Styela clava: one gene and its partners. The protein of the gene in region 4 interacts with the protein of the main gene of each other region in a biochemical or structural test. Links are inferred from orthologs where the notes say so. Each region holds a gene or a part of one and is shown on either strand. Other genes may lie near its edges.

Evidence for each region.
Region 1: the proteins of ubiquitin-like modifier-activating enzyme 1 (region 4) and ubiquitin-conjugating enzyme E2 J1-like form a complex in vitro, tested with the Homo sapiens proteins (2 studies listed by BioGRID, with this or other methods). The link is inferred for Styela clava from reciprocal best matches to the Homo sapiens genes UBA1 and UBE2J1.
Region 2: of the proteins of ubiquitin-like modifier-activating enzyme 1 (region 4) and ubiquitin-conjugating enzyme E2 J2-like, one has a biochemical effect on the other in vitro, tested with the Homo sapiens proteins (2 studies listed by BioGRID). The link is inferred for Styela clava from reciprocal best matches to the Homo sapiens genes UBA1 and UBE2J2.
Region 3: of the proteins of ubiquitin-like modifier-activating enzyme 1 (region 4) and ubiquitin-conjugating enzyme E2 Z-like, one has a biochemical effect on the other in vitro, tested with the Homo sapiens proteins (3 studies listed by BioGRID). The link is inferred for Styela clava from reciprocal best matches to the Homo sapiens genes UBA1 and UBE2Z.

The regions. Positions count from the first base shown.
Region 1 is NC_135255.1:18,740,101-18,748,126, forward strand, and holds the start of ubiquitin-conjugating enzyme E2 J1-like, read right to left. Parts: upstream 3,006-8,026; 5' UTR 2,948-3,005; coding exon 2,057-2,947; 3' UTR 1-2,056. UniProt on the Homo sapiens protein: Catalyzes the covalent attachment of ubiquitin to other proteins. Functions in the selective degradation of misfolded membrane proteins from the endoplasmic reticulum (ERAD) and is essential for cells to recover from ER stress.
Region 2 is NC_135261.1:15,008,437-15,015,688, forward strand, and holds ubiquitin-conjugating enzyme E2 J2-like, read right to left. Parts: upstream 2,946-7,252; 5' UTR 2,920-2,945; coding exon 2,230-2,919; 3' UTR 512-2,229; downstream 1-511. Other genes in the region: ubiquitin-associated domain-containing protein 2-like, read right to left, coding at 415-436; uncharacterized protein LOC120329411, read right to left, coding at 3,466-5,418. UniProt on the Homo sapiens protein: Catalyzes the covalent attachment of ubiquitin to other proteins. Seems to function in the selective degradation of misfolded membrane proteins from the endoplasmic reticulum (ERAD).
Region 3 is NC_135255.1:6,259,373-6,266,651, forward strand, and holds the start of ubiquitin-conjugating enzyme E2 Z-like, read right to left. Parts: upstream 3,006-7,279; 5' UTR 2,953-3,005; coding exon 2,164-2,952; 3' UTR 1-2,163. Other genes in the region: protein SPATA45 homolog, read left to right, coding at 5,483-5,590, 5,855-5,969, 6,474-6,493. UniProt on the Homo sapiens protein: Catalyzes the covalent attachment of ubiquitin to other proteins. Specific substrate for UBA6, not charged with ubiquitin by UBE1. May be involved in apoptosis regulation.
Region 4 is NC_135250.1:3,247,865-3,254,960, forward strand, and holds the start of ubiquitin-like modifier-activating enzyme 1, read right to left. Parts: upstream 3,008-7,096; 5' UTR 2,272-3,007; coding exon 1-2,271. Other genes in the region: uncharacterized protein LOC120325420, read right to left, coding at 6,521-6,817. UniProt on the Homo sapiens protein: Catalyzes the first step in ubiquitin conjugation to mark cellular proteins for degradation through the ubiquitin-proteasome system.

The DNA of each region.
Region 1 (8,026 bases), on a different chromosome or scaffold from region 4:
GTTTAGGATACTTGTTTCAATTCATGAATATTTTGAAAGAGAATCTAAAACATACTGATGTCTACATGGATAGTCTGAAGTGAAGCATTATTAAGAGATATTTTCTGAGTGTTGAGTGACAACGGCCACACTAAATGGCTTGGCAGACTGGGTTCTCTAGGGCTATGTCTCATTACTCTTTCCAGTTATCACAAAGACCCCCTGATATAACTTAATTTAAAACACCAGCAAAAATTGAATTGAAGGAGATAGGCAAGCATACATAAAAACAAAACTTGGATGTATTATACACAAATAGTATTACAATAACATACATAAATACTTTTTCAAAAATTAATGTTAAGAATTTCAACATTTTAACTATGAAATCTCTAGTCATTGTACGGGTCATACACTAGAGCAGTCTTCCCCAAACTATGGGTCGCCTGGAAATACTCTTGGGTGCTTGTTACTGATTTTAACAAAGTGACTGATTTCAATTTCTAGTACCGGTAATTTTTATTATTTCATTTGGTATTGAAGAGTTCCTCATTATATATGTGTAAAGCACCACAGCATAAAAACCTGGCGACATCAGTTTTGCTAATGCCACGATTTGAAAAACTATAATAAAATAGTTTGGGTAATTAACAGGGATTGATTGAATATTGGGCGCTCCAGAAGTATGTGTACCAATATGGAGGTAACTAATTTTGTTCACCTATTTTACATCAAGTTGTGTAAAGGGAATGTAACCTATGGGCAAGGAAAAGGACTGTAACCTATGGGCAGGGGGATATTCACTTGGCTAACACAGACAGCCTCCGAACTTGTGCTAGAACTAAAATAGGGGGATTGGAATAAAATTATGGCCTAACATGGTACACATACTACGATAGTACCAAATATTCGGCGCGTATTACTACAGCCCATTTCTTTCAGCATTTGTGCCAGCAAAGATACTTAAGCAATAAATAGTTCAGTAGTTTAAAGGGCCTGCTTTCACTTTTGTAAATTTATTCTTAGACACTTTGTCTGACTAAAGACTCCTTCATTGTTGCAAATTGCTTGTCTGAGAAAGTCTTGACTTTGGTCAGGCCTACTAATAAATGAATTAAAAGTGTGATGGATAACCTTTGACCCCTCAATAAGGTATAGGAGTTGATTTTGGCAATCAATCATATTCACTTGAGTCAAAATATTGGACTAGTGGCAAAATTTGCTGACAAGAAAAATATTAAAGAGTGAAAGTTTCTTTGGACTGAAACGGTTGATAAGGCAGGATGTGGCTAAATTTTAAAATAACTTCAAATCTAACTCCGCCTCCACCTAAGTGTACCACAACCCAACTAGAAACAAAATTGAAACGTTTGTGCATTTGAAAATTAGGAAAAAGTACTAACTGAAACCCTCAGCTAAATCTAGCTTGCATGTATACAAATTTTACTGCACTATGCATATATTTTTACAATGGGCTATCATTATCATCTGGAGGTGCCAGACAATTTCAATCAGCTGAATTGTAAAGCAAAAAACTATAAAAATATACTATTTTTTCAAGATATAATTTACATGCGCCAACTATCAGCTTTAACATGACAAAATATAAGAAAGAAAATTTCCACCAATCCCATTCTAAATTTTCACAAACCCCGGTTATATTCAGAAATACACCACAAAAATTCAAATTGTATACATGTTCAACCATAGAGTATTTGTTATAAATATTCCGAATAGCTCTACCTTGCAGCTCATTCAATACATATACACACAAATCATTCCTTCAATGCAAACAGTCAATTTTACATAAAAAATTACAATTTGGATTACCGGTATATAGAATTCTTTAAATACACATTTTAGAATTCCATAAATTTGTAATTCTGCTTAAACTAAATTCTATACACTCTTATATGTCATGCTACTAAAATGTGGCATCATAAAATCACCTAATGGCAGGGCATGAAGCCATGTCACCAAGTCTATTCCACCCTAAATACACAAATTAAAATAAACTATAATAAAACTAAAAAAAGAATCAAATTTCAGACGGTCAAAGTTGAAAGGTTAAGGATCATTAAAAAAGGTTTCCTCTTAAATCATAAACCCTGTCTAATCGTCTTAGAAGCAATACGGCAAGAACTACGCTTAAAACAATTATTAACATGAATGGTGTTGAGTCCTCTTGGTGGCGCTGTGCGTTTTGTTGTGGTGGAGGTTGCTGTATTTGCGTTTGCGGTGCTGGTTGTTGGGGGGTAGTAGGGGGAGGAATCGATGAAATTTCTGGGGGGGATGTTTGTCGCTGCCGTAAGCCGTCTGTGTTCGGAGGAGTAGATGACGAATCTTCTTCGGTTGTTGAAGTGCTTGGCCCTTTCTCACTTTCCGATTTCGTTTGCGTTTTTGGTTTCGAAAAATTAATTTGTTTCGCAAGCTCCTCGTCGCGGATTTCACTTTCCGTTTTCTGGTGAGAATCCTGACCTGGTTCTTTCAACAACTGCTTTATAGAACCACAGCATTGGCAACTCCATGTCGAAGATTTTTTCGCAAGATTCTTCCTCTCCTGTGGGCTGTAATCCAGAGCGCCTATAGCTCCTTCCCCTTTAGTAGGCATGAAGCCTATGATGGCAAGAATCGCAGTACGAATACTCCAACTTGGCTGCCAACTTTCAGGATGGTAGCCAGAAATACTCAGACAAATTTTTTTATGTAGTTCAAATCGACCATTCGGTGTTAAAAGCATAATACTTGGTGGCTTCATGGGGTATTCAGGGGGCAGAATAATTCTACCATGGTACATCCCGCCATCAAAATCAGAATCAGACGGTCCACGAAACGTAAAATGCCACTCAAAAAGGTTATCGTCCAGTGGTTGCGCTGAATATTGCTCCGTTGCGTCTTTTAATTCTTGTGCTTCTCTCATTAACCGTTTAACAGCTGGATTTTTAAAGTTATACTGAGACTGTGCCATCTTTAAACGACCTAATTTAAACTAATTAATAATTAATTAATATCTGAAAATGATGAAAACATTACATTCAAGATAATCAATTTTTATCAGATAACTGTACGAAATATTCAGATAACAGGGTGACCGAGAAAAACAGAACACAAGTAACTTGAAACATATTTTAGAGAAAACATAACTTTTGTGCGAAGCATCCTAGATTACAGAAACTCCTGGGTACAATCATGCACAAACAGTAATTCAACTGTTAAATAAATTTTCTTATAATTAAAAATTTATATCTGTTTTTTTAGATCACCCTGTAGGAACTGTTTTAATGTTTTTCTAATATTCTAAAAATAACGTAAAGAAGGACAAGACTCTTGTGGTAGCATAGAGTGAGGGCCAAAAAAACTTGGGAAGGGGGATTTTTGAAACTGGGAGTGGTTGACACACAAAATTAATAAAGAATTAACTATCGCCTGGTCAGTACAGGATTCACATATTTATTCTGCTGCGAGGAAAGCCGATAAAGCAGCTTAATCATATGGTGAACCACAGCCCCTATTCCGGTTACCAGTCCATGTCGGGTATGGGATTAGTTAGCCAGTTAGTTTTCACAAGCATAGACTTAATATTTTTTTATTGAGGTAAATTCCAAATAAAAACTAAACCAGGTATTTCGATCAGTTACTAATAAGGTATTGGATAAATTGGAATTATTGCGCTTGCTAATGAAACTCAAACTAACGCCAATCAGTGTAACATCTTGGCTTGTTGTTTTTAATTTAACTATATCGAAATTACAGGCAGCACACAAGTATGGAACAAATAAAACAGCAATGTTTTACGAAACTGAGTATAAGCTCAATTTTAGATGAAGTTAAGCCACCATTAGAGATACTATCTAGTTATTCAAAGTTAAACACAAAAAAATGGATGGATAGAATAGAAATGATCTACATTTACTTATTTAAAAAGGTGATCACCCAGGGATGCCAGAAATGATTTGATTTTTCAATGATTTGGAAATAGTTACATTCAATACAGCGTATCCAAGGTCTAAGAAAATTTTCCCAATTCTCCAATTGTGATAGAAATAATTTGTTTGTTTCAACAACAACAAATCAGCCATTAGTGACATTTTGAAGCTACAAGACAGGAAATATCAATACGCAGCAAACATTCAAATTTGGACTATGAAAAAATATTTGAAAAAAAACAATTTAAAGACAAATCATTTCACTGCGAATTTTATATCCCATACTTGAAAAGTTTTTTTAAATATATTTAATTTCGGCCATCCCTGGATCAAGCACAAATAAATAACGCCATTGTAAATTTACTAAAAATCTTGAATCAACATTATTTTTACTAATCACAGCAACTCATGCAATTGACGTGAAATAATAAAAAATTATTTTTACACTAATACAATACAGCAAGATCAGGAATGTAAAAAATGAATCGAATATTCCAATACATAGGTGTGCAACCTTTTATACAGGCAGGCTAGATAATTGGTTTTTTATTGGCGGGATAATTGGCGGGTGCACACCATCCAAGATTGGCACTTCACCACGGGTCGCTCAATTTTTTCTTGTGGGCCGCATTTAGCCCACTGGCCGCAGGTTACACACCCATGCTCTAATACATTGGTATTTCATATAATTGGCCGAGGGTTTCAAGACTAAGAGGCAAATGTTAAACGGATAAAGGTTAAATAAAGCAATATTCCTCAAAGTATCCCAATAAAAAGATAGAGTTTGAAAATCAAATTTCTTCGTTTTCCCAGAACAGATTTTTTTGCAAGTTTCGTCCTTCAGATACAGTCAAGGGCATAGCTGAAGGTGGGGGGATGGAGTTTAGATGTAGAAAAACATTTTTCTGTATCAAATATAGCAATATTTCATAGCTCGCACACTTTTTATACCCTTGAAACTTCTACAAACCCATGTTTTTAGCCTCTGGCCATACCTGATAGCTGTTACAATCTAAGTCTAACTTGGTAAAATTTCAAAACTACCCTTTTTTCAATTGGAAACTTTTGAAAAATTATGAGCATACAAAGGTTTCACTCAATTGCCGAAAAAAATTAGAAAATATAATAAATTTTTAATATCCATCGGAAAAGACCATGGATCGTGAAAGTTTTAGAACCACCTTCCAGATTTAAAATTAGAATTATTCAATTTTGTTAACTCTAACTGTTTCACATTCAATAATATTATAATCACAATAAATCTTACAATTTCAATTTGAGATGAAAAAAAAAAAAATTTATGCTTACAATACAAAACAACATAAAGTTAACATCGACAACATATTTTTGTGAGGTGATTAAAATAATCACAAATCAGCAGCAACTTGTGCAAAAAGTGTGATAGGCATGCATAAATTATATTTTCAAAATACCCCGTTGAAACGTGACGACTCGAAAAAGCTAAATAGAAATAATTCAAAACTGTTTAGAGCCATTTATGCATAAATAATATAATATTCCCAAAATACATTTATCCCAACTGTTCAGTATTGCAACAGGCACGTATAAATAATATTTTCAAAATAAGCAGCCGTTAAGAAAAAACTACCCCAGCGTTTCTGAAACTGCTCTCCACAGGACACTACTGGTACACGAGCTTCTTCAAATTGTTCCGCAAAAGAGGGATCGAAATGGTCGCTAAAGAAATCCCGGTTGTACTTTGATGGATCCAGATCGTAAATTTGTCTCCCAACTGGCAACTGCCTTGCATGCTAAACAGGCGGATAGGCCTCGTGCCATGCTGGAAAGCATGGAGTTCGCGGTAACCGTCAGCCTAATTTTTTAATTATCAACTTCACAGCAACATTTTTCATTTTACCCTAGGAGAAATATTTTTGAAACTGCCCAACGACTTTACCGCCATTTTTTTGATGTTTTCTTGATATAAAAAGCGTAAGTGTTTCGGGGGCAAAGAAGTTTGAGAAACGCTGGACTAAACAATGGAAACCAAAGAAAATTAATTCAAATGATGTCCTATTTTGAACAAAGTATTGAAAACCTGGCCAATCAATAAAGAATCCACTTACTGTTCAGTATTATAACAGGCACTCATAAATAACAATTTCAAAATACGCAGCTGTTAAGTAACAGCTCTAACATAACAAATCCATAAAAAATGATACAAAATAATTCCAATTTTGAGTTGACTTTTGATAAATAACAGTAATTCAATATTGAGAGACATGCCTAAAAAGTTCGAAACACCCAGTTATAAAGCAACATTTATAACAATCCAACAAAAAATATTTCAAAATGAAATCCAAATTTGGGCAAATTCAAACGAAACAATCAATGAAGAACTTCTAATTCCTAAATATTCAGTATTGTGCCTGGGATGCATAAATAATAACTTCAAAACATGCAGCTGCAACATCACAGCTATGACAAATCAAACAAAAATAATTTAAAATGAAGTCCGATTTTTAATTGACACTGGCCTAATACAAACTGGGCAATCAATAAATATTTCCTATTACCCAGCTGTTCAGTATTTTGCAAGGCACGTATAAATTATATTTTAAAAAAAAGCAGCTGTTAGGAGAAGACTAGACTATGAAAAACCAAGAAGAAATAATTAAAATTGAATTCCAGAATTTTTATATCCCAAATTTGTGCCAGGTATCGAATTGATTTTTGACTCGATAATGATTCGCCAACCATAAAGTATGACACCCAACCTGTCCCAGGCACGCCTGAAAATATGATATTGAGCTGTTGGTAATGGAGCGACTTTCATAGGCATGTCCAATTTCGAATGACATCAACATATAAAATAAAAGAAATTTTAAATCGAATCAGACTTTCAATTGACCTAATAAAATCTGGCCAATATAACAGTTCAGTATTGAACTAATAAAAAAAAATTTCAAATTATTCCAATTTCGTCGAGCCATAATTGACTTGACCATACCGAATTTACTGTCGGTATATCAATAGAGAATGTCCATTCTCTAACAGTTCAGTATTGTGCCAATACTGGGCCTTAAATATATTAATTTTAAAACACTCAGTTCTAAAGTGAACACTAAAGCAGACCAAATAATGAGATTTATAACAAAGAAAGAATTCAAAATGAATTCCAATTTGTCTTTTTGTTGACTATATAAGTACAAACTAAATCTCACAGTTCAATACAAATTACCAAATAAGATTAATAGCCTAGGGAGCAAAATTTTGATTATTATTATCTAATTTGAAAAAGAAATGAAACTCGACTCAATATTTTAAAACTGATTTTTCCGCAGCTAATAGGAGAATTTTTCACATTCTAAAATTTGAAAAAAAAATGTAATTCTGTTTGAGTTGTCTGACTTCTTCTAATAAAGTAGCAGCACCTGCGGAAACAATGAAATTTGACAAATAACAGAACAGCAAAAACGTAACAACAAAGAGGTGAATTTCCTATATAAAGTTGTCTTGAAGTTTGTACAAGAACATAGATTATTGCTTCGGAACTAGGATGATGGAAAAGCAACTGCCAGGAAAAGAACAGAATGTTCAAAATATTCAGTGAATTGAAAAGTAAAGTCGTTTTTTTAACTGCACATGATACTTCATTGCGCCACATCTTTGTCTGAAAGTTAATCGGTTTTCTTTGAGGTGTTTTCATCTGTACTTTCCACGTACTGTCTCGCTAAATACTTCAATGCTTCGTCGATTAATATAACAGGCAGGGATATGTAGAGGACCATACTCCACTCAGTCCAATTCAGCGGGCAAATTTGGAAAACCATTGGTAGCGGATCAACGTAGAGAATCATGAAATGGAGTACCATGGACAATATAATCGCTCCTATCAGCCACATATTTTGCCATGGTGGCATTTTCAGCAAGGACTGGTTTTCAGATACACTGTTTAGGGCGTTCAGGAGTTCGATGGTAACGAGAACGGATAACGCCATTGTCATAGGGTGTGGATCTTCAAATATCTTACAATCAATTCCCTCGTAGTTTTCAGGATCGGAAGAACAAGTCATGTAATGAGTAAGCTGCCACCATGACACAGTGGGACCGTTATCTGCATACATAAACCACCAAGACGCCGCAGCGACAGTCGCAAA
Region 2 (7,252 bases), on a different chromosome or scaffold from region 4:
TTAATTCTATTTAATTTTTTACCATTAATAATTTTTTTAATATTTCGAACAAATCACCGTTAATTTCTAATATTAATTTGAAAATTTCCAGATGAATTTTAAAGTTTAGTGAAAAAATATGTACGGTAAGTCGTATATCATAGTTTTGAGTAAACCTTTCGAAACTGCATTTGGGCTTATGTTAGTGGTGATGTTAAAAACCTCAATGACTGCAGAGCCTGAGCCTAGCTCCAAGGTAAAGAATAAAGCTTGAGCTGGGGTTGGAGCCATTGCAATTTAATTTAAATCAGCTCCTCCATGCCATGTACTAAATATGAAATATGCATCATTAGGATAATTCATTGTATCGAGAAAATATTTTATTTTGAAATAGCGATATGTGTACTAGTCAAAAGGTAACAATGTCATACTCACAGAATCCAAGATTCTCATTCATAGTGAATCTTTGGATGTTAATATTCAAGTTGAAGAGCTCAGTCCATGGATTTGAATAGATGACAAAATTTGAAGACTAATGTTTTACATAATGACATAATATGATACAAACGCAAAATATAAGATAATGAAATAAAAGATTCGCACAGAATTTGAAGGTTTGAAAAAAACAAATGTGGACATACAAGACAAATCATGTGGTGTGGACATACAAGAAAATCACAAAACCTGCAATCAATGGTCACTAGATTGAAAATTCAACAAAATTTTCCCTTTTTGTTTTTTGCACTTCACAAACACAGAAACAAACTCTTATAATAAACTGGCAAAAAACGTTCCCTCCCTTTCAGATTCAAAAGTATACCTACAAAAGTACCACATCCCAAAATCCCAAAGCAATTTTTAGTTCGGTTTTCAGATACATTGTCCGAATTGAAAATCAAAAACATCAAAATATGTAGAAATAAATACACATAAGAGGCATAACCAACATTGCCATTAAGGTGACGACAAAAATATTTTCCAATCAAAAAAATATTTCCTCTATATAATGTATTCACTCACGGTGCCCAATTGGAACTCATTTCAACAAAGTAAAACGATATTTACACGTATATTCTATATACAACATAGCAAACTGATTCACAGTGGAGCAAAACAGACTGTTACTATTACATTACATATGCTACTCTTACACACTCCTAGAACTGCTAATTTATTTAAAACATAACATAGAAGTCAATAGAAAAAACACTCGATTCAGGTGTACAAAAAAGTTAGCATGTATGGAAATTCAATGTATGTTAAGTAATCTAAATAATTTAACGACATTGTCAAACGGTAAACGGAAGTTAGATAAAGTTGACCAGTGAAATACATATGATTCATTATTAAATATATCGAATCCTTAATTTTTTCTGAATTGACTAGAATATCACCAATGCTGACTAATAATTGTGAGCCTTGTTGTCGTATGTAATGAATTAACCCATGGGTATGGCCATTAAAATACCTACATGTTATCTCAAGTAACAGGGTTATAATCTCAACTTTCCACAACATAATATTTATACTCCTTTTATGGATTGCCAATGAAAAATACAATACACTCGATAAATATTGTCGCAAAGCAAAAAATATGAGTGTTGAATACTCAGTTGAATAATGACCGAATTATACAAATTGCCATGATTTCATCAGGACATCGAAAAAATAAACTTACAATTGAACAATAAATGATTTGAAATTACTCCTTCAAAGATAAACAATTCCAATATGCAACATTGATGATTTTTTGTATTCCTGATGGAATTTATTGAGTGACATTTCTAAGTTTCCTCCAAATAGTGTTAGTCATATGAAACAGAGGAGTCCTATCCAATTGGTGTTGACAATATAAGTATTGGGTTGACTATTTTAAGGTTCAAAATTTCAGAATACCATATAAATTAAAAACGATATTAACGATTCATCATACCATAGTAATTATTTGTTATCTGTATTCCAGTTTCACATTGTACCTTATCGATGGAGCGTAATTAATATACATCTAATATTCAGCAATAATGTAAGCAGGCATTACAGAAGTATCCTTTGACAAGTAAATGAGCATTGCAAATTAATTCACATAAACAAGCACAGAGGTGCAGTGATTTAGGCCATCTAAGCAAAATTTTTTTTAGCACGAGTTGGCTTATTACGGGCTTACGGCTGTAATAAGTACGATACTTCGTAAGATCTATATCGTTTCTATCAAGTTAAATTTGCGATATAAACTTTTCACAAATATAATATTCATAAACTTTGAATAACGCTATTAACTGCAAGAGCAAATAGAGCAACTCCGGCAACAATAACTAAATTTACAAGATTAGATTGGTTGTCTCTCTCCCTTTCATTTGCAGCGTTTGATTGTTGTTCATTTTTTACATTAGCATTTGTTGTCTGAGATGTTGTTTGAGCATTCATACTTGCTCTAATTTCCTTGGCAACTCCTGGAAATAGTTCACAGAAAACTGAATCTTTCAAGTTGAATGGTCCACTCTGAAGTGCGAGTTGACGTTTTGTATAGTGTGATGTTTCAATAGAACCTAATGTGGCAGAATCTTCGACCATGAAACTTAACAACCCAGTTAAAATAGTTCCTACAGACCAGGCAGGATTCCAAGTATCTGGATGAAAATCACTTATCGATAAGCACAATCTTGTGTTGCATTTGAATCTTCCTGATGGGGTGATCATGTATATAGAAGGTGGGCGGAATGGGAATTCCCTCGGAAAGACTAATTTTCCATGATATATACCACCAAAATAGGGTGTGTCATTGGGTCCTAACACCAAGTAATGCCATTCAAGAATATTAGATGGCAGGGGTTCTGCAGTGACATATGGAATTGGATCTTTCTTTAACCTAAGATAGTCCTGTTTAAGTCTTTGTGTAGCCGTCGTTGGTGCACGCTGCACAGATGAGCTTTTACGAGACATATTGTTTCTGTCACTAAATATAACTTATTATAAGATACCGTAACTCCTGTAAAAACAAAAGAAAATATTGCACAAACAAATAATTAAATTCAGTAAAGGATTTACCGTGGTATTTTCAGCATCCATGCACTCTGGCGAATAGTTTTTGTGGGTAACAAAGTACGGACAAGGTGTGATAGTGACAAATTTCTCTTCATTAATAACTCCAGAATTTGTTTTTTATACAGCAGAAGCATATTTTCAAGTGGTACGTACGTACACAATTTTGCATCAAAAAATAAGTTCAAGAATGGTTCTGTGTTCTGTCATAGACGATGTTGAGGCAGAAGTTGGGTAGCAAGATTAATTAGACAGACCACTTAGGTCTTGAATTATGTTTTCAAATTTGTTATCCATACAATGTGTTTATACAACTGTGTTTGACACCAATTCATGTTTGAAAAATATTAAAATGAGTATCGTGAAAAATGTTTGTACAATTTGCATTTATGACACCAGATAGTTCAATACAAGAACATCAATAGCAAAGGTAAATTATAGCAAACGTTATCTATTTTTCCCGTAACCAAGTCCGAATTTCCCTTTTCCACTTCCTTCAGGTGCAATAGGTTCTGTAATCCCTGTTTGATATTTTCCTAGACTCTGTCCCTTATTCCAACCCATTTTCTTTAGCATTTGGTGGCCTTTGTTGTGATCGGCCAACTCTGTTTGCATTGAAGTTGGCATCTCATCTTTTTCATATGGATTATCACTGCCTAACAATCGCCTTCTTTCAGAAGCTCTATCCACATACTGCGGTTCAATACCGAATTCCGATTGCTTATATTTATCATTATGTAAATTATATTTTCTCCTAATATTCTTCAACTCAGATCGCCTTTGTTTTTCCTTTTCATTTTTTGTCAAAATTTCAACTGAATTATTGGTCTTATTTGTATCAATCATGGCTTGGATTTGACCAGGTTCACAGTCATCGCATGTATCATAACCAATATGCAGATGTAACACAAACACAGTGTTTCCTATTATTAGCACACTTTTATGTGTAATAGGGCTGGCTAGCACAGTTGTTATACCAGGATTATGTTCGGTGATAGAATTTAGAGTTGTTCCATTCTCACTCCCATAATCAGTGACAAAGTAATTTCTTTGTTGTTGGTTATAAAACACTGCTGCATGTTTTGGACTTACATCAGCTTCTTGTATTTGAATTTCACAGTTTTCACTTGAACCAAAAATTGCACCATAACGAGTAATTAAAAATAACGTACCAGATGTTAGACTTTTAGATGAAGTGACCATAGCTCGAATGCATGGAATCACATTAGTTTCTAAATCCAAGTCTGTATCATTTTCATCCAAACAATCCATTGAATAAATGACTTTTTCTTTTGAAAATTTGGAAGAATCATCACACACTAACTTAAAGTTTTCTAAGCAATGGCGTTTATTTGAATCTTCAGCTAAATCCGAAGCTTTCCGTCGTTTTCTCGACTCTGTTATACCTTCACAACAAACAGAATTAACAAAAGACAAACATTTTGGACATTTCAAAAATTTAAAAGGATGTGTTGACAATGTCTCTAGTTCAGTATCAGAGCAACTGTCTAATTCTGATATTTTTTCATCTTTTCTTGTCATTCTGTTACATACTGATTTGCCATTGATATTCATATTTAAGCATTTTTCATTCTGGCAACAACAGGTTTCCGTTATGTTAGAACATTTCCTACATACAAGATAATTTTTCCTTGTTGATTTAATGCATTCAATCTCTGAATCAGACAAACTGTAATCATGATATGGTGATCGCCCGATTTCAGTTTTGCATATTGATATACAATTTTTATTGTTTTCTGCCATCCCTTCAACTTCAGATTGGCTATTCGTAAAGTGGGAGCAAAGTTCGTTCACCTGGATTGCTTTGAGATGACTCTTCTGAGATTTTCCATATTTAAATACCGCTTTTTTCAGAGACGAAAAAAAAATTTTATCACCTATTTGCTTTCCAATAATATCATCTCTATCAATATTCGTATTTGACGTGTCATTGAAGCTCATAAGTTGATGCTGAAACTCGTATTCTTGTGAGTCCTGATTATATTTATAATAGCACCCATTTTTATAATTGTAATATAGCTTTGTGTTGGGATAGTAATATAGACTAGTGTTGTAATCAAAGTAGATACCCCTTTGTTCATCATAAACCCACCCAGCCGTGTTCATATATGAACGAGCAGTTTGGGCAATGCTTTCAGCTGTGAGTGTCTCTGCAACATTGGATGTATTTTCGTACAAGTGATTTTTGAGTTCCTCATAATCACATTCAGTTTGACAGCTTGCGTCAACAAATTCGGGATGATAAATAGTTTCTGGCATATTACATTCAAACAAACTTAGTTTTTGTTTCAAAATTGCATTCTCCTTTCTTAAATCCAATATTTCAGATCGAAGTGTGCTCAGAGCAACTGCTTTGTCACAATTACATTGAAATGACATAATTTTATAATGTGTTACAAATTTTTATATGGTTTTCATTTACCGTACCGTAAAAGCGCCTAACTTCGGACAGTTCCTAACTTCGGACAAAATTTTTGAACGGCCATATCTTGGCTAAAACGCGCCGTATATTGCTAATTTTAATTATTATAGGATGCGCTGTTATATCTACATCTATTCTCATCTTTTTTAATGTTGCATAATTATTTTTTTGGTAAAAAAACAGAAATTTTGCCGAAAATTGACTGCCCGGCATTCAACGGCGCAGAGCGTCGCTCCTACTGAAGCTATCATCGTCAAAATACCATCATTCGGTAGAGGGCGACAACAATGTATATAATTTATTTGAGTGATCGCAAGATGTCGTACGAGATTTAAATAAAACCTAAAATTCTGAATTATAAATTTCGTAAGAATATTAAGATTTCACGCAGCGTCAAAAATACGTCAACCTCACGTAGATTATTTTTCGCTCACTTCCGACACGACGTCACACTGCGTCGCGGAAATGAATTTTGACGCCAGACACAACGGAGCCAATATGACAATTTCCGTTAAGATAAAGACGGCGTTCCAATGTAATATTTTTGTATTTTGTTCGGTCATGTATGAATATATGCCAAAATTACATTAATGAAAATACATGTCACACTTAATCGATGACGTTAAAAATCGAATATATAAAACTATGATAATTCCAACGTCCATATGGCACAGTGCACTGACTTAACCATTATTTTATGATTAGTAGTCGAAATGACAGTTATTGAATACGGCCTGGGTGGATTTTATTCACTCGAAATTAAAAATAAATTTAATCTCCAACAAATAAACGGGACCTACATGTTTACAAGATTAAGTTGAATTTTAAATTAAACTTTACAATCGGATTTACCGTGTGTTTGATATAAATTATCATTTATAAAGATAACTGCACAGAATAAAAAAAAGCTATCCGCCGAGAATATTAATACTTCAAAGACTTCGATAGAAGCCCGTTAAAATACTTCATTGTGGATTGAAACGGTTTGCATCAGATATATTTACGTATGCATTTCCTGATTAAAATGACTAACGTGTTATTATACTCATCTGAAGTATTGAAAATAACGAACGAAAGATGTAAACATAGGACGACGGAAGTTTCAAATAATGCATTTTCGTCGTGACGTCAATGTTACGTTACGACGACGATCGAGCGTCTTATCTTCACGCAACGACGTGATTACGTCATCCGCATCGGAAGCCTCTTTCTCTCTGTGCGTCGCGGTTACGCAGTGAAGAAAATGACTGTCCGAAGTTAGGGCAGTGAAGGATAACGGTCAGATGGCAAGAAATATCGATTATTTCAATAGTAAAAATAGTCCAATTGAACCGAAATTTGCAGGGAATGTAAATTACCGCACGAATGTTTTACCGAGCAATTTTGGCACCGTTTGGACAATAAATGGCCGAGTTATAGACGAAAATATAGTAATTTTGTCCGAAGTTAGGCGCTTTTACGGTACCTTTGATTCACATCTAAGACAGAATAATAATATAATTTACTTTTTCAGTTCTTTTAAAAATGAAAGCCTCCTGCCCCCAAGATGACCATGACGTTATGTCATATAAAATGATTCTATTCAAAATATTATTAGCAATAGTTGAAAACTTATTTGATAAGTTGGCAGAAAAAGAGATTTCAAACTTAAGATGATAAATATTGTACTCCTTAGTCGACTAAATATCTTGTAATCTGTTCGAATCACTGAATCAGGGGGAATGGGAAATACAACTTTTCCAATAATTTCGTCTTGGGTGAGCGAACACGTACTACTTCTTTTATCAATAC
Region 3 (7,279 bases), on a different chromosome or scaffold from region 4:
TTTAACTAAATTTTATATATAAATTCTGAATTACTTATCTAAATTCAATTTGCTGATTCACATTATGCTCAAAGTTTATTTCCAAGCACTCTTGCCTATAAAAAAATGCGGCAATATTAATTCATATCATGAAATGATGATTTGTAATTTTTTTGTAACTGTGAATTATGTCAAAGAATTTTCCAGAAGACAGATATATTTGATATTCCGTATACATAATGTGAAGAAATTCCATGAAAAAGAAAAAACAATAAAAAATAACTAATAAATATATTAAGATAAGATATTCATTTCTTAATATTCTTGTTCATATAAAGATGGGATTTACATATTTATCACGGGGGAAAGGAAAGCCGAAAAGATGTCTTAATCATATGGTGAACCACGGCCTCACGTCCGGTTACCAGTCCAGGTCGGGTCTGGGATTAGTTAGCCAGTTATGTTTTTGGAAGCACGGACTTGATTATTAGATACAGCCTAACCAGTTTTTAGTGGAATATGGAATAATACATAATATGTGCCACTATTATTAACCATACAAATATTATTTCGTTTGTATAATTTGACAATATAGTAATTTCTGCATATTTATTTGAAACAATTGGGTAAGGATTAACAAATGTCAAAATACACGATACTCCATTATAGTCGATTTGAAAAAAAAATTGTGTCTTAGAATAATCATTCTAATTATTGTAGCTCTGCGAATTCAGAATATAAAAATACAACGTTTATTCATGATATGCACTTTATATGCTGGAGTTAAGAATATCTAAATCAGGAGCATGCAACTGTTTATCGCAATGGGCCGTGCTGGATTAACCATTAGACAAAATAAGCATGTGCTTAGGGCACCAACGAAAGAGGGCACTACTAAAAATTCCATTGCGGAATTTGCAATGGTGCCCCAGTGATCTATGAAATAATTTGAGTTGGTCTGACAACTCAGACCTCAATATTGACCCCAGGGCCAGGTCATGCCTTTTAAAGGCCCTGGCAATGGGTCAAACCCTAAAATGATGGCACACTGTGAAACAAACCATACCTTTTAATCAAAACATGACACCAATAAAGCAAATCACCTTATCGAATCCTTGAACAAACAAAATTTAATTCAAGTCTAACACAACACAAATACAAAAATGCTGACAGTGCCGTTACAATAAAAAATAATATTCAAAAGACTATACCAGGGCCCAAAGGCTGTATGTTGCATGCCTCTGATCTGATTAGCTAGTTGTTTCTTCCTTACTAGTTTACAAATTTCATTGATGTATTATTTCATAGCTAAATCAAAATTCATTCACATGGACTGACAGATAACATTGCTAAACAATAGTTGCGTTTTTTAATATTGTTTATATTTTTTTTGAATTCCTCAAATCTCACAATCAATCCCTAGTTAAAGATTAATAGTTAGATAATATTACAAATAAGCAAGAACTTAATATGCTGACAATGAAATAATATGGTAAAAAAAGTTTTCATCAAAAAGTTAGCAATCAGTTTTAAACAGAACAAAAAGAACATTAAGTATGGGTTGAGAAATAAAATCTGGTACATATGCGAGTTGGCCACATTGAGACAAACTACGGCATCTTGTAAGGCGGCCAGTCTGTAGTGACAATGCATTAGAACAGTGGTCCGCAAACTGCGGCTTGCGGGCCCGATACGGCATGCAATCCAAATTTTTGTGGCTCTCGAATGACTATACTTTTAATTGATGAGAAAACAAAAAAGTTTAGCAAATTTACACAAATTTATTTTAGCTGCGCATAGATATATTCCATAATAATGGCTTTTGGATGTTATTTTTATTTTTTGAAGTAATCAGCCGAACGTGTGTACCGATAGTTGTAATAAGCATAGAAATAGGAGTTAGAGGTTCGTCATACATTGAAGTTTAATGTAGCGAGAGTTTTAAAAATAAAACCTAAACTCAAAGGCGACTGAAATCATGTCAGTTTATGCACGGCATTCATATTGAAGATTGCAAAAGTAACAATAAACTAACATAAAAGATATATTATACTATATTAAGATATACTCATAAACAATACAAAAATAAACATTATTATATCATTGACATTGATTTGGAACTATTCCATCTATTAAGCTTAAAAGTACGGTGAATATAGAGTAAAAATTAATTGAATTTTGAAGTTAATGAGACGGACCTGGCTCATCAGTTTCCATTGGAACTACATATGGACTATTAGAAAGTGTTTGTTTTATTGACTCAAGTCTGGCAAGTAATTCCCCAAATCGGAAATGTCCTGTATTTTGATTAAATGGGTCTTGCATTGTTCTCCCATCCATTTTCATCAAATTCTTACAAGTGCTAACATAATAATCATAATATTCCATAAAAGATGACTGCACAACTTTTTTAACTTCAGTGTCCAATGAATTGTTAATCGCCATATCACAAACAGCAACTCTTATTGTTTCATGTCTAATGCAATCATTGTATCGCATCGAGTCACCAGCTACTCGTTCACTTGCAAATCCCGGTTCATTATGATACGGTGACTCGTTCATCACAGATTGTATTGAAATAAGGACAGATGATAAAGATTGGGCGGGACTCCAACCAGGCCCAGACCAAGTTCCAAGTATGCTCAAACACACTTTGCCATTTTTGTAGAAATTTGGGTTGAAACGTACCATTCCAAGACCAGTTGTTAGCAATTTTACTCTGGGGGGCTTTAATGGGTAATTAGGAGGACAGCGTATGTAAAATAAGAAAAATCCCCCTTCGTAAGGAGTGTCAAAAGGTCCAGTTACTATGGCCTGTAATCGTGTTATATCATCTGGATTAGGTAAGATGACAACGCCTGGTGGAGGCGCTCTGTATATTTCCAAAATATCTTTCTTCAGTCGGACTATGGTGGTGTGAGATGGAGCTTCATTTCCCCAGTCATGAGATTGCAGAGGATCCCAGTATGACATAATACACAAAAAATATCTACTATACTGAATAACACCTGAAAAATATAGTGAAAAACAAGAGCTGCTGAGTCAAAGTTCGGATACAGTTTGGTGTGTTTTTATTAATTTTGGAGTCAAAGTCAGAGACATAATTTTAAACTCCTCAAAGTCAAATTTCAGACAGATTCCAAGTACATTAAAACATCATAAATAACAGTCGGTGCAAACCCCTCTTTTACTTGACGGTCTGAGCCTCTGTATCGACTCAAACGGCAAATTTGCACAGTTCAAAAAAACTAAAAAATCTAAATCTAAAAAAAAATCTAAAAACTTCACCATTAGATTTCTCGGAAAAAATAATCCAATTTACCAAAGAAAAAAATTATATCGTAGTATTTGAGAGTTTTTAGCAAAAAAAAACGCAATTTGGTCAAGTGACGGCAGACGCACGTCACTATTGATTTAAATTATTAAAAAGCCAATCTTGGTGGATCTTTCAAATCTGCCGTCATGACAGACGTCCTCGTAGAGTGTTCGTTTTATTGAACCAAATGTTGGGACATTTTGGAATCGGAGAACTAATGAAAATACTGCCCTACTGAAAATAGGACTGTCCTAACTTAAAATGGAATTACACTGTCCCAACTCAAAACGAAATTACTAACACCAAATGGCCAAACTAGGAAGTTGTTCTGTCAGATCATGTATAGCGGACAATGGACAATTCAAATAGCCTATGTGTGGATCAAAATATTTGCTATGTTCTGAAATAGTTAGATAGTAATAATACAATATGAACTACAGACTGACAGACAGACAGAGGACCAAAAGAACTACTTCGTCTTTAAGCGACAATTACATATAAACGACTAGTCTAAACAATTGCAAAAGTTAAAATATATGATAGCCTATTTCAGTATTCAGGTATTTGTTCCTGTGTTGATTCAATTCAGCGATTGCAATGATTACAGGACTAAATTACTGTACCGTACCGTAGTTATTTTTTGTTTCAAATCATATAATTATCTGGCTGTGCTTACATGTTCCACTTACAGGTTGACGTTTGTTCACTAATTTATGAACGTATCTGAGTATACCCTGCCACAACCACCAGTCAGTATGCTATACGTACAGAGTGTAAGCAATAACTTAATATGCTGACAATAAGGTAATATAGTACTGTAGTAAAAAAAGTGCTAACAAGTTTTATCAAAGAGTTAACAATCAGTTTTAAACACAACAAAAAGAACAGCAAGTATGGGATAAGAAAGAAAATCTGGTACCTATGCGAGTTCGCCATATTGCAGTATTGAGACAAACTACAGCATCATCAACTACGGCTTCATTTGTATATTAATTCTGGTGATCTCTCATAAATCCTAATTAGATACCGACAAGTGGTTCAAATTTTCATCAACCAAAGACGGAAGAAATTGTCAGAAGTTTATTACATTCAATTATCTATTTCATATTTGCTGTTTTTGTTAAATCGCCTTCAAAGTACTGCCCGATTGTGGATCGCGTTTTTCTATGATTGTTTTATTTTTTGATGGGCGGGCACGTACGCTTTTTAAATTTATTTTGAGTTATGCATGTTTCCCAGGTTTCTCTGCATTTTGTTTTATCCGTTTACTTTTTGTATTGTTCATGTTAGAGAACCAAAATGAATGATTGACAGAGGCATGAATAGGGCCAAGTTCGATAATACCGGTACTCAGCCAATTGATCAAGCGTGGAATTTGTTTGAAACTTTATTTACAGAATTATCCTCTAAATTCTTATAGATGTATACCGGCCAAATGTATACCGGTATACATATTTCTGCAGTATTGCTGGTATTGGGTGTTAATGTTACGGTACTGCAGCACTGCATTACGTATGGTACGGTACCGTACTGCAGTACCACTGTGTTAGATAACTCACATGACTGCATGGTCGCGGATTTTTTTACCATGCCTGAGTATTTTTTTTTTTTCTTTTATGATTCCACAATGTGGATTATGCAATAAATAAAAATCATATTTTAATAAATGAATAACAATAATCAGGTTTACATAAATAACAAATGCCTGAGTATTGTTAGGGGTATCTTTATGATATCATGGGCTGGTGATCTGACGAGAGGTCATGGTTCGCCTTATGACAGTATGATTAAACCATCTTATCACTTTCCTCTCCCCCGATATAAATATGCAGCCAAAAAATCCTATCCTATCACACAAAAAATTATTATTTAAGCATTACTGTATTAACACAACGATGAAAATAGTCAAGAAAATACCGCACTTGATATCTTACCGCGTATACCTGTATACCGACATCAGCCCCGCGTATCGACGCATCCTTCTATTTCGTTGTCTCCATTTTATTTTACCTCATACACGTGGGGTATGCTCAAAATAGTTCCACCTCGAGATGGCGCATCAGGGTGCTGCCTAGCAACAGACGCTTGTACGAAGGGGTACTCGGTACGCGTCGTGTAGGGTCGTAAAGTTTTATAAGCCTGGTCAATTTGATTTACATTTAAAATAGAACACACTTCAACTTCAAGATGAATCAAGAAATGCTATATCAATTGGGAAATTCCCGTGAATCGTGGTGTGCAGTGGAACTTAACAAATCACAAGACTGGTGTAGATCTGAGAGAAGACATTCAAAAGTAAGGAAGGATGCCCTAATATCGATACTGAAGTCCTATTTGCAAAGCAAAGCTTCAACGAAAAAGATAATTTTTTATTTGTCATTGGCTAGCAATCAGTATGTGGTGACGGGACTTCAACGTACCCCAAACTTTATTTAGGCATGTCAGACTGAGTTGAAAGTCATTATCAGTATAAAGTACTATATAACTTAAATGTTTGTAATATTTTGTTGTGTGTTGAACACCAAATGCCAGATAATATAATATTTTAACCAATTGCAGGAAAATTTTGTCAGCACCGTCTTCAATCCGACAGTAAACACCGATTCAGAACCAAGATGTCAGTGGAAAATTGATGCTCCTACCCATAGAGAAAAACGCCATTTCTCCTTCGCCAGTAAGTTAGAGCCTCGACTTATACTTTGCTCATTAAATTAGAATATAGTAAAGATGACTGCATGCAATAGGGTTTTCACGGAATTACTCAAAAAATATTGATGATTCAATTTGAATCTAAATTTTGGGTGTAACTCCTAATAAATGTTCTATTCCAATTTAATGGCTATGCGTTAAAATAAGTCAACAGTTGTCGCCTGTAATCCTCGTGTGTCTCGATTATATTTGAAAATTACACTTTTTGTTCGAATATATTCAATACAAAACATATTAGCAAAACATTTAGTTTCTTTAATGTAGCTACAGTTTTATTTTATCTATTCTATGTATGAAAAATGATAAATAGTATATATATTCAATTTAAATATAAAAAAAATACGTTGTAGACCAAATTAAGAACAATCTTTAAATTGAAAAAATGGCGCTAAATAGCGCGACTCAATTAGCGCTACAGACATAATTTATGACTCTTTTCAAATAAAATAATTCATTTATCTTTTTGTAGATGCTAATCAGCTGAAGTGAAGATTCCCATTGCATGCGTATATTAGCTGTCGTATACATCGACTCGAATCATTTCTATAGTTTTTGCTGTTATTTACCTATTGGTGTTTGAGAATAATTTGCCATATCTTGCTATAATGATTATAGTTTAGCTTTTAGTTCGCCATCTATAAATTGTTGTATATTAGTTTACCTAAATGTGTTGCTTCGATAGCCTATTTATTTTCGTGCCATATTTTAAATTATAATTTTATACTGCTAATATGCTCTGTGCATTTCACTAATAGAGAATATTAAGTTAAGTGTTTCTGTTGATATGATTGCTCTCTGTAAAACGAGCATTGATTTTATAGCAGAAATCAAAAGAGTTTGCCAATTAGAAATAAACTCTTTCCCGACACCTATACGCAGCACTATTGGGCCCATGGCCAGTGGCGTGCCTAGAGTAAAGATGCTAAGTATGACTACTTACACGTATTCGATTCTTATCCGATTCCTAAATTTTTGATTCCGATTCTCGATTCCTCGACATATCTTGCCGAGAAAACATACCCACTTAACCGCTTGAACCCGGCAAGCCGGTTTACCGGCTTGTTTGAGTACGCTCTGTGCCCCGGCAAGCCGGTTTACCGGCTTGTTTTTCGTGTCGGAAGGAATCAACTTTATGATCTCGTATCTCAAGAACCACAATGAGTATTTAAATAAATTTTAGATTGCATGAAAGCTTGTTATTGGGACTAATTATATTGTAAATATCGGTGCTCTAATATACGATGTTTCAGTAAAATTAGCAATTTGAAAGTGCGT
Region 4 (7,096 bases):
CCAAAACATAGCACCAGATGTTGTTTTTTGGTCTGGTGGAAAGTTATGTAGTAATTGCGCAATATTGTTATAATACTGCTCCTGGAATCTCGTACGAGCCCATTTCACGCAATCAACGAAAGATTTCGGATATTGCGAGACAAGAGAGGAAAAAACAGACTCCAATGTAACAATAGGTTCCATTCCAGGCAGTTTCTCGGTTCGTTCAAAAAACTTTGCATCAGTAAGAAATTGATTAGCGGTCTCAGCTGGTTGTTTGAAAATCCCTTCAAATTCATCACGTGCCCATTGCAAAGTATGTTCAATCGCATTCGGGAAATTTTTCAACGTGCAAATTGGGATAGACTTTTCAGGGGGATCCTGTGAGGAAGAATAAGACTCTGTGAGAAAAGGCAGAACAACTTGGACATTTCCTTTAGTCCCGAGCGTACCAGATTCAAGCAGAGGCTTACGGTAATACACACATCTTCGATCCATATAAATTCTTGCATCAATGTTGTCCAAAGCATTTGTGACACCATCGAGACCTTCGAAGAAAGAATCGTTGTAAACTTTTTCAGTTTCTGGTCCAACTCTATTCTGATGAGCAATGATGTTAACCTGGGGGTTCATTTTCTTGACAGAAGCGGCTGCACATTCAGACTTGAGTTTCTGAACATCCCATGGTCTGAACAGAAACTGGCGATTAAGATTTGATTTCTCAATAATGTCCATGTCTGTTACAGTGATATTCCCTCCTTCTCCACATCCAAGACCCATCATAGCAAAATTTTTGAGAAGTTCGCAGCCTATGGCACCAGCGCCAACAACAAAATATTTCTGTTGACCAACGGTTTTTTGAAAATCTTTTCCAAAAACTGCGATTTGAGCGTCATATCGATCACCAATGGCTGTACAAGATCCCTCATCCAATTTTTCCTCCCCATCCTCTGGGAGGCACTCAAGAGCATCAAAATACAAGAACTGCTTAATTGGGTTAAATTTTCCGCTACACGCTTTCATTACTTCCTGTGCAGTGATACTGCCAATTACTGCCTGCATAGGGCAAAGATCACCTCGTGCACCATATGCAAGTTGTCGTACTAACTTCTCATCAACTTTTTCCACTTTGGCACCATCTGGTAGCGTCGAATTCAACTCTTCCGTGATTCGTACCAAAGTATCAGCATCCTCTTTATTCTGAGCTCTTGGTAAACTATTTTTGTCAGCGACAAACTTATGTAAAGCATGGAAAGCAACGTGTAATTGGCCAGGACGTTCCCATTTTGCAAAATCAGTAATTACTTGCTCCGGTTCTGCCATAGCTTCTCTGAGAGATTTAAAATTGACAGGGGTAGGCATTTTAACTTGAGTACAGATTCCCCCACTTTCATATTTAGTCAAATTGCTGACATTGCCTATAGTGAAAGTATAAGGTCCAAGGACCTTTATTTCCCTTGGTTGACATCCGTTAAGTTCAACCATTCCTTTGACTTCTGTAAAAGAAACGTGGTCACCACTTTCGAATCCATGTCTAGTCTCGTCCATACAAGCCACAATACCTTCCCCTTTTTCATTCTGTGTGACAGCTGATACCATAACCGATCTAACCTGTTCCCCATTATTGTCAAAAACGACGAATTTCTCACCAAAATCACAAAAGATTTGACCAAAAAGACCTTTAGTATCCGCAACAATGAAGCGAATACCGTTGTTGTGGCAGAAATCCCCAATTCTGAGCTGTTCTTCTAGGTTTGAATTTGTAAGAACAACAACTTGAAATTTTTTCAAGATTTCATCGGTTAAATCTCCAGAGTGAACTTTGACTGGAACATAGGAATTTAACTCGGTAATTTTTCCAACCGAAACCTCGGCTCTGCTTCTCCCAACATCTTGCTCAGTCAAAAAATACTGCGAACTGAGATCAGATAAAACAGTAACGCCATCATCATGAATAGTAACAGACTTCACACCAGCAAGAACTACATTCTTTGCAATCTCCACTCCAAGTCCCTTCATGCCGCTTATGAAAATATTAGAAGCTCCCATCCGTTTCATTGCTTCGTGACCGAGTACGTACAACTGTCGTGAATACAACCCCTCATCGATCGAGTCTTCCGCCATTTTTGTTCCGTTTTGAGCCATTCCGGGTGTTACAGCTACTATCACTGATTCTCTTGTACAAATTGATCCCGTCGTGTCGTCAACTTTTCGAAACTTTTTTGGAGGAGAGTTTGTTATATTGTTGTCGTTAGCTGAAGATTTTTTATCGTTGAAACCGTCAGATGACATGAAGGCTTCGAATTTTGCCGCTACACAAATCCCCCTCAAATTTTTCTTGCTTTTTTGTAGAAAATGAAAAATTTTCTGCCAAAATATTAATTAGGCTAAAGCAAATAATCAACTAATTTATGAGTAAACCGACCTTTGAAACGGTGAATATATAAAGTCAGTATTTAGCAGTTTTGGGGTGGGGGCTCTAGAAATTTAATAGATTTGAATTGGACTAGAAATGGCTCAAGTGGAAAATTGAGACTAATCTCCAGGGAGACTTAACTTAGTGATTGACCCAGCTTCTTGTAGTTTCAAGTATTTTGTGCCGTACGAGATGCCGCAAAACCATGACGGGATTTCCAAACCATGGCCTCTATGACCAAACCTATGACAACTGACTTTTTAGCTTCCACAAACCAATAGCGAGATACATTTACCAAGGCCACAAATTGAAAACCAAAGGCGGGTAAAATTTAGCTGCCATAACCATGGCATGTCGGCTGTAATGGCAGGGCTGCCCCTGATGGTGATAAATATTGGGTAAGTTGGAACATTTTTCCTATGGACACACTTTTCATGGATTTAGGGTTAGGTTTCAGGTTTAAGTAGATACAATTTCGCATGATAAACTGAAATCTGGTACATGACTTGTGAATATACCGGTAATAGTGCCCTAACCACAGCAAGAGCTGCCCTGCCATCGGTTCGTCCGTGGCATGAGCTGCCATGAAGTGGTACGAAGTGGATGGACCTTTCCCCGACCTTTGACCCCCAGAAAATTCTTCCTATACTTTACCATTAGAAAATTTTCGGGGCTATTTTAAGAGTGCCTTTGCGAGTTGGCGCCTGTGAAATGGGGTATGTTTCCCGAACCATCATCAGGATTCATCGTACAACAATCTGTTTTTTAAAAGTACCGGTAAATGAATTTTAGTCTAGTCTATCACAGCTATTTTTACACTAATTTTTATTACTGCAATTAAATTAAAATTCTTAGGAAGACAGAGTGATCATTGAATTATCTGATTTATATTTAAGTTTCCTGAACACAACTGAAAACTAACGAATAGAGTCCAAAAACGCGAAAACGAGGTAATGTTTACGACCACACTTGAAAATCTGAGTGAGAAAAGTGTCTAAGCGGATGTGAAAAGGAAGCATTGTTACGTCACTTTTTGCATCTTGCTGATTGGCCAATGTCACGAAGTTAACAAGAAAGTCGATGCTCGGGGAAAGGTCCATTACATGGTACCCGCGATATTATTTTGAAAAAGAACAGCGTTCAATGAACCTGTAGACCTGTGCCAAATGTAATATGATTCAGTGCTATTATTACAAAACATTGCTGTTTTCCATTCCATGATTGATTGAAATTCAGAAATTACTGAATTATGGTGAGACAAAAATATTTTACAAAATTAGAGAAATCGGGTCTAGGGTAGTTCCGTACCTAAAGTATTTCTAGTGGGCGTAGCATAACAATAATATTTTTGCATATGTTAATCATAACCCCGGGTCTCATGTAGTTTCGTACCTAACGTACCTCTAGTGGGTGTAGCATAACATTTTTGCATATCAGCATATGTTAATCCTAACCCCCACCTGACTGCGTCATCCAAATATTAGTCACAACGACATCACAGTGATGTAATGGAGCCCTTCCAACTATACGAACTGCCATCTAAGACGCGCAGACGATCACCCAAAATCGAGCAAGCTAGCTATTTCTTTCGTTTTCTCATCGCAACAATCTCCAACCGTTAGTCAGTTTTTTATCATCGGCGCAGATGCCATTTTGGGCATAGTTTAACTTTTAGACTTTGGCAAGCTCTATGAATTTACGAGACAAATAAACATAGATACATCTGTGCCTTGTGACGTCGCAGTACCGGTAACGTATTTTTTACGTAAGTTACCGTACATATGTAAAGTCATGATCAGTTCTCGTTTTGTGGTCTGTGAGGACAGCACTTTAGCAGGCTGTCTTCAAACAAACTGTTGACTACATAGAACCAATACCAGGATACAGTACCCGGTAGGCCTACAGGCTACAGGTACCGGTACTACCGTACTGCACAGGCGTAGGCAGACAGGTACCGGTACCGTACCTTTATGCTGTTATGGCAGTGTGATCAGTGCATTATTCAAATCGCGTACCGGTACCGCTTCGGCTATTTTCATTCCCGATTTAAATTACTTCAAATTGTTGGAATGTGGGCACATTTAAAGATACGGTATAATCCCAAATATGCTGAACATTGCCGTTCTTTGTTCAACAAACATAAAAATAACACTGGAGCGTCACGGCGATGGCGCAATGGAAGGAAAACGCTCGAAAAGAAATATGGTAAGCATGACATAACCGAACGGAAGCGGTGGCCGGAGTTCAATATCCGAACCCGAAGCGCGCAAGGCATTCTACATGGTCGTGAAGATTTTCGTATTCGACCCGTGAAGTGGGGATCCGATAAGACGACCTGTAATCAGTAGTTTATAATTATTTCACCTAATTATATAGCAAACCCCAGCTACTCGCCCGGTTTCCAATCTATGTTGGTTATGGGAATAATTAACCAGATTCACGGACTTGTACGCGGGGAAACCATAGCCGACCAGCACTTACGACTACGTGAACCACCCCTACAACTTGTGAGAAGTCTAGCAGTCCTGTCGTGCATAATTATCATCCACAGAAGTTGAAAATGCGCAAGTTAAATAAGTACAACGCCAAGCGTATTTCTCATGTCGAGCACAACGCGCCAAACGCCGATATATAAATAAACGAATAAGGATCAAGTTTATTCTGATTCCCCGAAAAATACATACATGAAACAAAATAATGAAAACACAAACGATTGAGAAAATCATGAAAACCTATAAAAGTCATAATAGGATGTAAAACACGTAGAAATACATGTGCCAATTTCACCTCAGTATCCTAGTATGCAGGTATGTAAAATTGTAATAACAGCGGTAGCCAGCACATACAGCAATGCCAACGTAGTTCACATTATTCAAATCCTATTCTTTAGTTGTTCATCATTTCGAATGTAAGATGTTCTTAACTTTTATATTCTATTTGTTTCCAAGTTAATACCGTTAAGATGTTCTTAACTTTTATATTCTATTTGTTTCCAAGTTAATACCGTCGACACATCTGACCCGCACCCCGTCATGAGAGAAATCTGCTCAATTAATTGTCGTGCGCAAAAGGATATGATCTCCGAGCAAAATTACGGGCGAATAGTAAAGTGCCATGATCTACTGACACCGTAAATAGTGAGGGCGGTTAGTTACGCGATGATAAATATCGACTGTTGCAACCTAATGCATCAATTAACATTCAACAAAATGTAAAATTTTCCTGCACCATCGTAAATATCTCATTGTCTCCTAAATCTGACCACAACAACTCAGCTCTTTGTTCTCATTATTGTGTAGCGCGGCCTAAGGCTATACGGACTAATAACTGGGCCCACTGAGTTTTCCCGATTGCTGGCCTCCTTAATAGATCCCCTGTGACATTGGTTTAAATAGTAATAATTAAACTACCGAATACTTGAGACACATAATCGAGATCATCTTTGTTTAAAACAAACCGATTAATAATCCTCAAACTTTAACAAGTCAAAATCTTTTCCCTAAAAATTGAGTTGGATAATCACACCATATATTCGAATAGGATTTTTATTATTGCAAATTAAAATTCTGCTAAATTAAAAAATGTTCATCTTTGTGCAGAGCAATATTATAAACAATTACCCAAAAAATTGCCAAGCGTTATATTAAAAGCAGTGCATATTTGCAAAGTACAAATTATATAAGCAAGCTAAAAAGTATTGGATTGTATAATATATTACGGGAATGAAGATGACATAGGCAAGCAACTAGTTTGAACAAAAGATCAGTAAATAAGCTGTTATGAAATAAAGAAGTGTTCCACTTCAATAAAATAAAACAGCAAAATATTTGGTAGGATATCGGGTCCCACACTGGCAGGAGGAATTTAAAAATAAAAGTTTTAGCTTACTAGCGACTCTAATCAACTGTAGTAAAAAAATGAAATCAATTGAATCATTAGTTGCAGAAAAGAGCGATTTTTTTTAATAATAACGAGAATTTAGGGTAGTGATCCACCTGTCCATTTCAATTACACTAATCACAAGCAAATGCATTTCATAAGTTTGTTACTTGTTAGTAGAGAGGGATAAACTAATAAAATATAAATTGACTCAAAGGGCAAGTCATCAAATTTTTTTTATTTGTTCTATTCTATAATTTGTGCTTCCATATCGTCTTTCGGAGTATCTTTACCAAACAAATATGTTAGTAAATTTGAAACAAGTTTTCTCAGCTGTTCTATAATGGAGTCGTCATCGAGTGTGAAGATCCTAAACCTCTCATTCTTAGCATTCAAGTTTCTTGCTTTTTCGGTTTCTGCTTTGATCGCGAGGATGATCTTATCCTTTATGTTTTGACCCATTGTTCCCTTCTCAATATCATCAAGGAATTCTTTTTCGGTTTTATTTAAACGAGTTGGCTTCACGTAGTGCTTTTTCATGTGCTGAATAAACAAAATAGGTAATTAGATTAAATTTTAACGATAAGACAACTCAATCATCTGTTCGGATTAGGTTGTCCCTAAAATATCAAGTCTACACTCGTCTATTTGATCCAGTGTTACAAATTTTCATTCATACGAATCCTCACTCCTACACTTTTTATGAAGGTTTACTGTAATCTTTTGCTGAAGTATTAAATCAACTACAAGCCATTTCGTGTATTTACTTTAACCATTTGCCTCACAATATATATAACTAGCCCAATTCAAAGTGAGACAAAT